2 linked regions of the Macaca mulatta genome follow. The protein of the gene in region 1 purifies or fractionates together with the protein of each later gene. This does not show direct contact. Links are inferred from orthologs where the notes say so. Each region holds a gene or a part of one and is shown on either strand. Other genes may lie near its edges.

The links. Proteins that work in one complex are often made in the same cells at the same time.
Region 2: the proteins of PHLPP2 (region 1) and USP12 purify together in Homo sapiens (affinity purification with mass spectrometry; 3 studies listed by BioGRID and IntAct, with this or other methods). This does not show direct contact. The link is inferred for Macaca mulatta from reciprocal best matches to the Homo sapiens genes PHLPP2 and USP12.

The regions. Positions count from the first base shown.
Region 1 is NC_133425.1:68,204,014-68,207,524, reverse strand, and holds part of PHLPP2 (PH domain leucine-rich repeat-containing protein phosphatase 2), read right to left. Parts: intron 1,601-3,511; coding exon 1,446-1,600; intron 1-1,445. UniProt on the Homo sapiens protein: Protein phosphatase involved in regulation of Akt and PKC signaling.
Region 2 is NC_133422.1:7,255,586-7,259,789, forward strand, and holds the start of USP12 (ubiquitin carboxyl-terminal hydrolase 12), read right to left. Parts: upstream 2,811-4,204; 5' UTR 2,639-2,810; coding exon 2,591-2,638; intron 1-2,590. UniProt on the Homo sapiens protein: Deubiquitinating enzyme that plays various roles in the regulation of the immune response and inflammation.

The DNA of each region.
Region 1 (3,511 bases):
TGGCTCAAATGTCACATAAAATGAATAAACCAGTTAGAGCTTGAAAATAATGAATGTGACAGCATTTTACCATTATGTGACCTGATACACAAAATAGTAACTTTTAGTGCTTCTATTTTGTTCATGGAAGTAGAAGTATCTATATTGTCTTACCCAGAGATGGCATTGTTATAAAATGGATCTCTTGGGTTTCTTCTTGATATCCATTGTATTATAATTAAGATGTTAAAGGTTTCATTAGTAAGAACTTTTTATGAGAGACTCTGGTAATTCCACTAGGGAGTAGGATGTTTTGTTATTATACAAGTGCAAGATGGTAAGGCTGAGATGTTCTCCATGATGATGATCAAGCAATTGCTTCTACATATGAATCACCTGCTTCTAGATACCTCACTCTAATGCTTCTCTTTGTCAAATTTTCAACTTGTGATTTTCAGATGACCTAACCGTGACTGCTAATTATTCCTTTGGCTTGGTGCTTTAAATTCAGAATTTATGATCCAGCCCTCAAACTGGACTACTTCTTTTTCATAGCAACTCACAAAGAAATGCTAGAAACCAACTTCCTTAAAATTACTGCTTGTTTTCATTTTTACAAGCCAATATTATTAAAATAACTACCTCATTACTAAGTAGAGGCTTACACTTGAAAAACTTTCTAAAACAATTATCAGATGAGATAACAAAACACAATATTTTCTGGATATTACTCTAGAATTATTAGCTATTAAGGAAGGATGTAAAATATGTAATTTTAATGTATATTATCTTTTTAGTCACCATCTAATTTAAATCACTTTGAATGCTTTAATTTCCTATTTCTACCTTCTCCTCCAGAAGCCCAGACAATTACTTACAACACATATTTATTCACTGCGTCCATTTTTAAGTGGAGGAGTGAGGTGGGATGAGTGGAGGGTGGGAATGGGGTATATATTTTAATAAAGGAGATGGAATAACAAGTAGGTCATAGTACTGTAGGGCTAAAATGGTTCCCGTATTAGAAGAGAGAAGCATCACAGCTGACTAAAGGCTTAAGAGTTGGCAGTGGAAGGTACAAAGGGAAGATACAGCTTCATCTCTCAGAGTGAAATTCTTATAATTAGGCCTATCTCCTTTACGTTATTTAAATTTTATACTTCTAATTCAAAAATTTCCCATATACGAAATCTCTTGATGTAACTTGGAGGCAGATCACGCATCAGTGTCAATGATTTACATGAAAAGATCACCCAGATCAACAGAAGCTCACAGAACATTTACATCAATCTTCTGTTTTATGGGGGAAAAGGGCAGGTAGGAGAACTCCATGAATAAAAATTTTTACTTCCTCTTGAAAAGGGAGGGGAAATTTTAGAATATACATCCAATGGCAGCAGGTAGAAGTCATAAGATCCTGATTATGAGTTGGTTTTAACAGGTCTGGAAACCCATTCTCCACATACTTGTAGAGTGTGTCGAGGCCTCCAGGTCTTTCTAACTGCATGAAGTTGTGTCGCAAGTTGAGGTAGGTAATATCTTGACTATAGAAGAGATGCTCAGGAACCTCCTCGAGGCTGTAACACGAGAGATCCACGGTACTGATTCGCTGAGACACCACCTGAATAACGTCAAAGAGAAGAGCTTTCTGAGCTAGTACTGGATGTCTATCACCCAGCAAAGAATGGAATGGCATTTACACAAAAAGACACTAATTAAAAAGACAGGAAAAAATAAAAAGGCAATAAGATCCAATTATTCATTTATAAATACCAGTTAATTTTTACTTTTTCCTAAAACCATAAGCTACTTGAAAAACAAGGGTACAAGTTATAAAGTCTCCATAAGTACAAGGTAAAAAAAGAAAAACACGTATCATTAAAGATGGAAAGTTAACACTTCATGCAGGAAGTAATCTTCTTGTTTGTTTGTTTGTTTGTTTGAGATACGAGTCTTGCTCTGTCAGCCAGGCTGGAGTACAGTGGCATGATCTCGGCTTACTGCATCCTCCATCTCCTGGGCTCAAGCAATTCTCCTGCCTCAGCCTCCCAAGCAGCGGTGATTACAGGCATGTGCCACCAGGCCAGGCTAATTTTTTTATTTTTAGTAGAGACGGTTTCACCATGTTGGCCAGGCTGGTCTTGAACTCCTGACCTCAGTTAATCCACCCACTTCGGCCTCCCACGGTGCTGGGATTATAGGCCTGATTCACAGCGCTCGGCTGCAAGGAGTTATCTTAAAATGATTCGAAATAACTGGACAAAACTTTAAGAGGCAGTGTGATATGAAAAGACATGGCCTTTTGTAGCCACACTAGCTCTGCTACTTATCAGAGGTTTCTTCAACTGCTTTGAGGATAAAAGTAAATAACCAAGCACATAGCACACTGCTAAACACGCAAAAGACACTAAAAAAAATTAACTTCTCTTTAAAAGGGCAGTAGAATAGCTACTTAAAACTGGGACCAGTTTTATTCAGAGCAGATTTTATAGCCAACACAATATAACTATAAAATAATAAAATCAAAACAAGCTTCATAGTTCTATAACAGTATGCCAATATAATATGGGTTATAAAAATTGATCTAAAAAAAGAAACAATATATCACTAGAAAAGTCATTCATGGCTGGGCGTGGTGGCTCACACCATAATCCCAGCACTTTGGGAGGCCAAGGTGGGCAGATCATGTGAGGTCAGGAGTTCGAGACCAGCCTGGTCAACATGGTGAAACTCTGTCTCTACTAAAAATACAAAGATTAGCTGGGCGTGATGGTACACACCTGTAATCCCAGCTACTCCAGAGGCTGAGGCAGGAGACCTGCTTGAACGCGAGAAACAAAGGTTGCAGTGAGCCAAGACTGCACCACTGTATTCCAGCCTGGGTGACAGTAAGACTCCATCTCCAAAAAAAAAAAGAGAAGTCATTCATGTTTTGATGGTATGTCCTTATACTATAACAATCCCTTATACAAAATCCTGCAAAGACAGCTAGAAGAAAAAGAGAATTTGGAAATCACAATACACTTTATTGCTCTTTAAAGGCTAAAGAGCAGAAATGATGTTGAAGTTGAAAGACTAATTATCCTTGGCATATAGGAATAATGGTTTGTGACGGCATTAGAGGTCACTGTCCCATCATCAATAACTGCACATTTGAAGTGGTTCACCAAGGCTGTTCTGAACATACGCAGAACGAGAAGCACTGGGACACAAGTTATGGAATGCATCCATCTATCACTGACTACTACGGTCGAGGGAAGGTCATTTAAATCTCATTGTATCTCAATTCCTTCAAGGGTCAAATCTCTTTGTGTCTTAATTCCTTCTAAGGCCCTACCTCCCAGAGATAGTACAGAGGAAAATGCACCTGCAAACATTTTTGACAGCATTTTGTACTATGCATATATAAATAAGTTAAAGATCTGGTGGAATTCCATGATTTTACTCACTACATACTTAGGAAAGGCCTAGAAAGGAAATTAAAAATTATAATTTGCTATCATTATAATTTGCCATCTTGGGAATAAGTTCA
Region 2 (4,204 bases), on another chromosome or scaffold:
GTCCAGCCCATCTTCTCTCCACATTCCATACACACACAGCCGTATCATCCCTGCTTCACCCGGCATAGCGGGAGCAGACAGGAAGGACTCTGGAAAACTTTTATACTGAATGCAGAACTTGGTACTCCAGATCAAACTGCAGAAGTAAATGATAATCCTTCCCCTTCAAGGCCCTCATAATTAAGAGTTCAAAGAAAATTTTACTACACAGTAAGCATAAGGTGCTACTGAGATTACAAAAATGCCATTCAACTGTAGGAAGGGGATGGAGGGTGGGGTTGGACAGGGGTAGGATTATTGAAGTAAGGAGGCTCCCTGCTTAACAGACAGCTACACACACTCTCCAGACGAGAAGGAAAAGGGGTGTGGCGGGGAGGAGCGTTCCAAGCCTAGCAAAACCACCTACAAAGCCAAAGAGGTATCTCTGCTTTTCAATTTTGTGATTCTAGAGGACAGATGGCAATTTTCTTTAAAGAATAAGACTGCAAACTACTGAGATATTTAGCACTGTTTGGGGGTGCATTCGAATGTATTCAAATATGAATACGGACACACCGAATTTTAATAGTACCTTTGGAACAATCTCATTTGGCCAGGCACTATTTGCCAACAATACACACACACCCCACATGTAATTAACGTATCTGGGTGGAAGCCCTAGAAAGAGCTTCTGAGTTTGACATCCTTGAGATCAGAATCCCACTTACTAAGTGTGTGACCCTGGCAAATCCCTGTGTCTCACTGTCCTAATCTGATTACAGCATACATTTATTGTTTACTTGAATACTGTTTGTGTCCATGAGCAAGAATGTAAACACCATGAAAGCAGGGGCTGCCCTGACCAATACTGCATCCCCAGCACTCAGCCCCGCCTCTAGCACTTAGTAGCTGCTAAATGTATACTTGATATACAGTACTTGAGTGAATGAATAGTCGGTCAAGAGTATCACACCACTCCTGAAATCCTAGTCTTTGACAACGAACTATGACCCATACAATGTGTGTAGCTCAGCAATCTGGCAAAATTGTCACTGTAAAAGACCTAATTATCGCATTCCTTTTGAAACTGACTAATAATTGGCATATCTAAAAATAATTAGCCCAAACAATCCTCGAAAATCATTTTAACATAGTCCATTTAATACCAGTGCTTTCCTAAAATGTAAACTGTGAGAAAGAACAATCATCCAGTTGGGAAATGGAGTCTTCAATGATTCATCCTTCAGTATGATTTCTTTAATACTGTCGATTTTATGTCCACCTGATTTCAGCCATTTTTTGTACTGTTCCTCAGCGTGCAGGAGAGAATCTGCTTTTAAAGCATCTTTCAGATCTGATTCACCACTCCTTAAAGAAAAATATATACAATGTACAACCCTTGGACGGAAAATTGCTTGGGGATCTCCTATATGAAATCAGTTGCATAAATAGGACCAGTGAGACATGAAGCACAAGATTTCAGAAGTCTTTAATAACAACCACTAGGCCCACGTTGCAAAGAACAACTTTTTTCGGTGATGACTCATAAATTATGATCCCTACATATAAGCTCATGAGGAGCTAATGAAACGAATTTGTCTCATCATGTGGAAAACTGTGGTCCTTCTGGCCACGCACAAAACACCAAGTTTCAAACGCGCCCACGTTTTGCTTAATTCGGGACTTCCAGCGGGCATTAGCACTTTTCCCTTACAGTCTATTTAAACGCCCTGGGAAAACAAATACGGTCGCCTTGGCAGGCGGTCCCCGCACAGACACACCTAGCTCCAGCCACATACAGATGTGTCTGGTGGGCTGAAGTAAATAAATGACAGGAAAGCTAATGCTGCTTTTCAAGATTAACGTGCATTCCCAGAGACAAGACTGCCACCTGGACACACGGCTGGAAACGGGAGAGCATGTGCCTCTCAGAGGAGAAAATGGAGAGAATTTCAACAGTACTTATTTAAACTTTCCACCTTCACACACGCCCCTTTCCCCCAGCGCGGGGTCGGGGACTCGGCCCAGCCAGCGGCGCGAGGAAATCTGCACTTGACTTCCGTCCTCTCCCAGGCGGGAAAGAGCGCTGCCCGCCACGGCCGAGACCCTTCCTTCCTGCCCGCCGACCCCCACCCCGCCCGGGGACCCCTCCCGCTCGGCGCGCGACCAGGAGGAAATGCAGCCCGCGCGGCTCCGCGCCCCCTCGCCGGCGACCCCGGCCCGGGGCCGCGCTCCGACTCGCGCGCGCCCACCCCTCGCCCCGCCACAGGCCCAGCCCGTCTCGGCTCTCGGCCCCGCGCCCCAAGCGCACCCCAGCAGTTCAGCCGGGGGCTCCCGGAGGCCGGTGCCCGCCCCACGCCACGTCCGGCACAGTCGCCCCCTCACCGCCACCCTCGCGCCGCCCTGGCCCACCAGGCGGCGCCCCCTCCCCAGCCGCCTGGGCCGCTCACCCCCGCGCTCCCCGCCTGCTCGCCGTCCAACCGCCCCCGCCCGGGCCGCCCGCCCGCCCCCGCGCTAGGCCCTGCGGGCAGCCACCGGGAGAGGCGGCTCCAGCGCCGCCCGCCCGTCCGAGAGGTCCCGGCTGCCCCTGCCGCCCGCTCGCCGCACCTACCATGGTACAGATGGAGGCGAATTTGGAGACTGTCATTAGGATTTCCATCCGGCCAGCGCCATCTTCCACCCAATCACAGCGGCGGCGGCGGGCGGGGGAGGAGGAGAGCCGGGCCGCCCGCTCGCACCGCAGCCCGCGGGCGGACCCCGAGCCGCCGCGGACCCACGCACCGAACCCGCTGGGCCGCCGCTGCCGTCGTCGCCGCCGGCGCTCAGGCACTCCCGGCCTCGGGCCCCAGCCCCCGCCTGCCGGCCGCCGGCCCGCCCCCGGCTCCGCCCCAGCGCAGGACGCAGCCGCTGCCTCCGGGCCCGCGCCTGCCCGCGAAGCCGCCCGCCGCCCACCCCGCCCAGCGCGCAGAGGAGCGGGCTCCGCCGAGGCCCTAATGCCCGGCCTGCCAGGCAGCAGCGCGGCCCGGCGGCGCAGCCCCGCCCACCCCTCGGCGCCCCCTCCGCGGCCGGCGAGCGCGAGGCGGGGAACTCCGGCCCGGCCCCACCCCGCGCGCGGCAGAGGGCAGGACCGAAGGCGGGCACCGCCTCCTGCCCGCGTCCCTGCGGTCCTAGAGCCGGGCGCTTAGAGGCCCCGCGTAGGAAGGGGCGCGGCGGGGAGGCGCGGGGGCGAGGGAGGCGGCGGCGACCTGGGAGAACCTCGAGGGGACCAGCTGCGACACCCACCGCGGGCGAGGGGACGGCGAGCCCCCGCTGCCTAAACAGAAAACGGAGGCGATGATCTGGGTAACTACACGCGGAGTGGGAGGAAACCTGCTCTGACAGTTAAGATAACCCGGGTTACCCAAGCACTTGGTTTGTTTCTTTTTACGTATATTGGATGAATCACCGGAGTCAAACACAACTTAGAAAAAGACAAAATAATTAAATAAAAATGAAGAGGCAAAGAACGAATTACACGTTTAACTCTTTGAATTAAGAAGAAATAAGTAATGGGGGAAGGAGAGGAGCAAATCCTGCTGGCCTGTTGGCCGTAAATTTATAACAGGCTTCTAAATATCTGCACATTGAGCTGCAAAATAGGGAAGATCTCAAGCCAGCAGTGATGATGATATTACCAGAGACAAGAAGCCCGCAAGCAAGAAGAATGCCCTGTGAGAAATCCTTAGGCAGTGCTGGCTACTGGCATGGGTAGTTCCTCTTTTCTTCTTTTCTAAAATTCATATTTGCACCCTGTTCTTCATGCCTGGCAGCTCAGCTTTATTTTTTCCTATTTGAGAAAGTAGCTCAAGTGAGTAGAATAACTTCATAAATTACTATGTTAGAAAGCTTGTGGCATCTTCGATGGGTGAACTCGTGATGGGGTACTTTTCTGGGTTCCCCTAATTCAGTGGGATTGAGGATCTGAATTCAGGCAGAGCTGTAAAATCAGAAGTGCCTCACCTCACGGGTTCAAAGCACTCAAAAACAAAGCATTCAAACAAAATTTAAGTGAAAAATAGACTTCTGGTACATGAATACTGTTTCCATAGTGATTCCATTATAAGCTTGCTTGGGGGGAGAATGCAGATTGAATATAGCTAAATCCCATGGTAGCCGGCCTGGTTCTCCAAGCGCCTGCCTCCATGGAAGCCGAGAGCCCTGATACCCCAGCCAGGGGCTTCCCTCT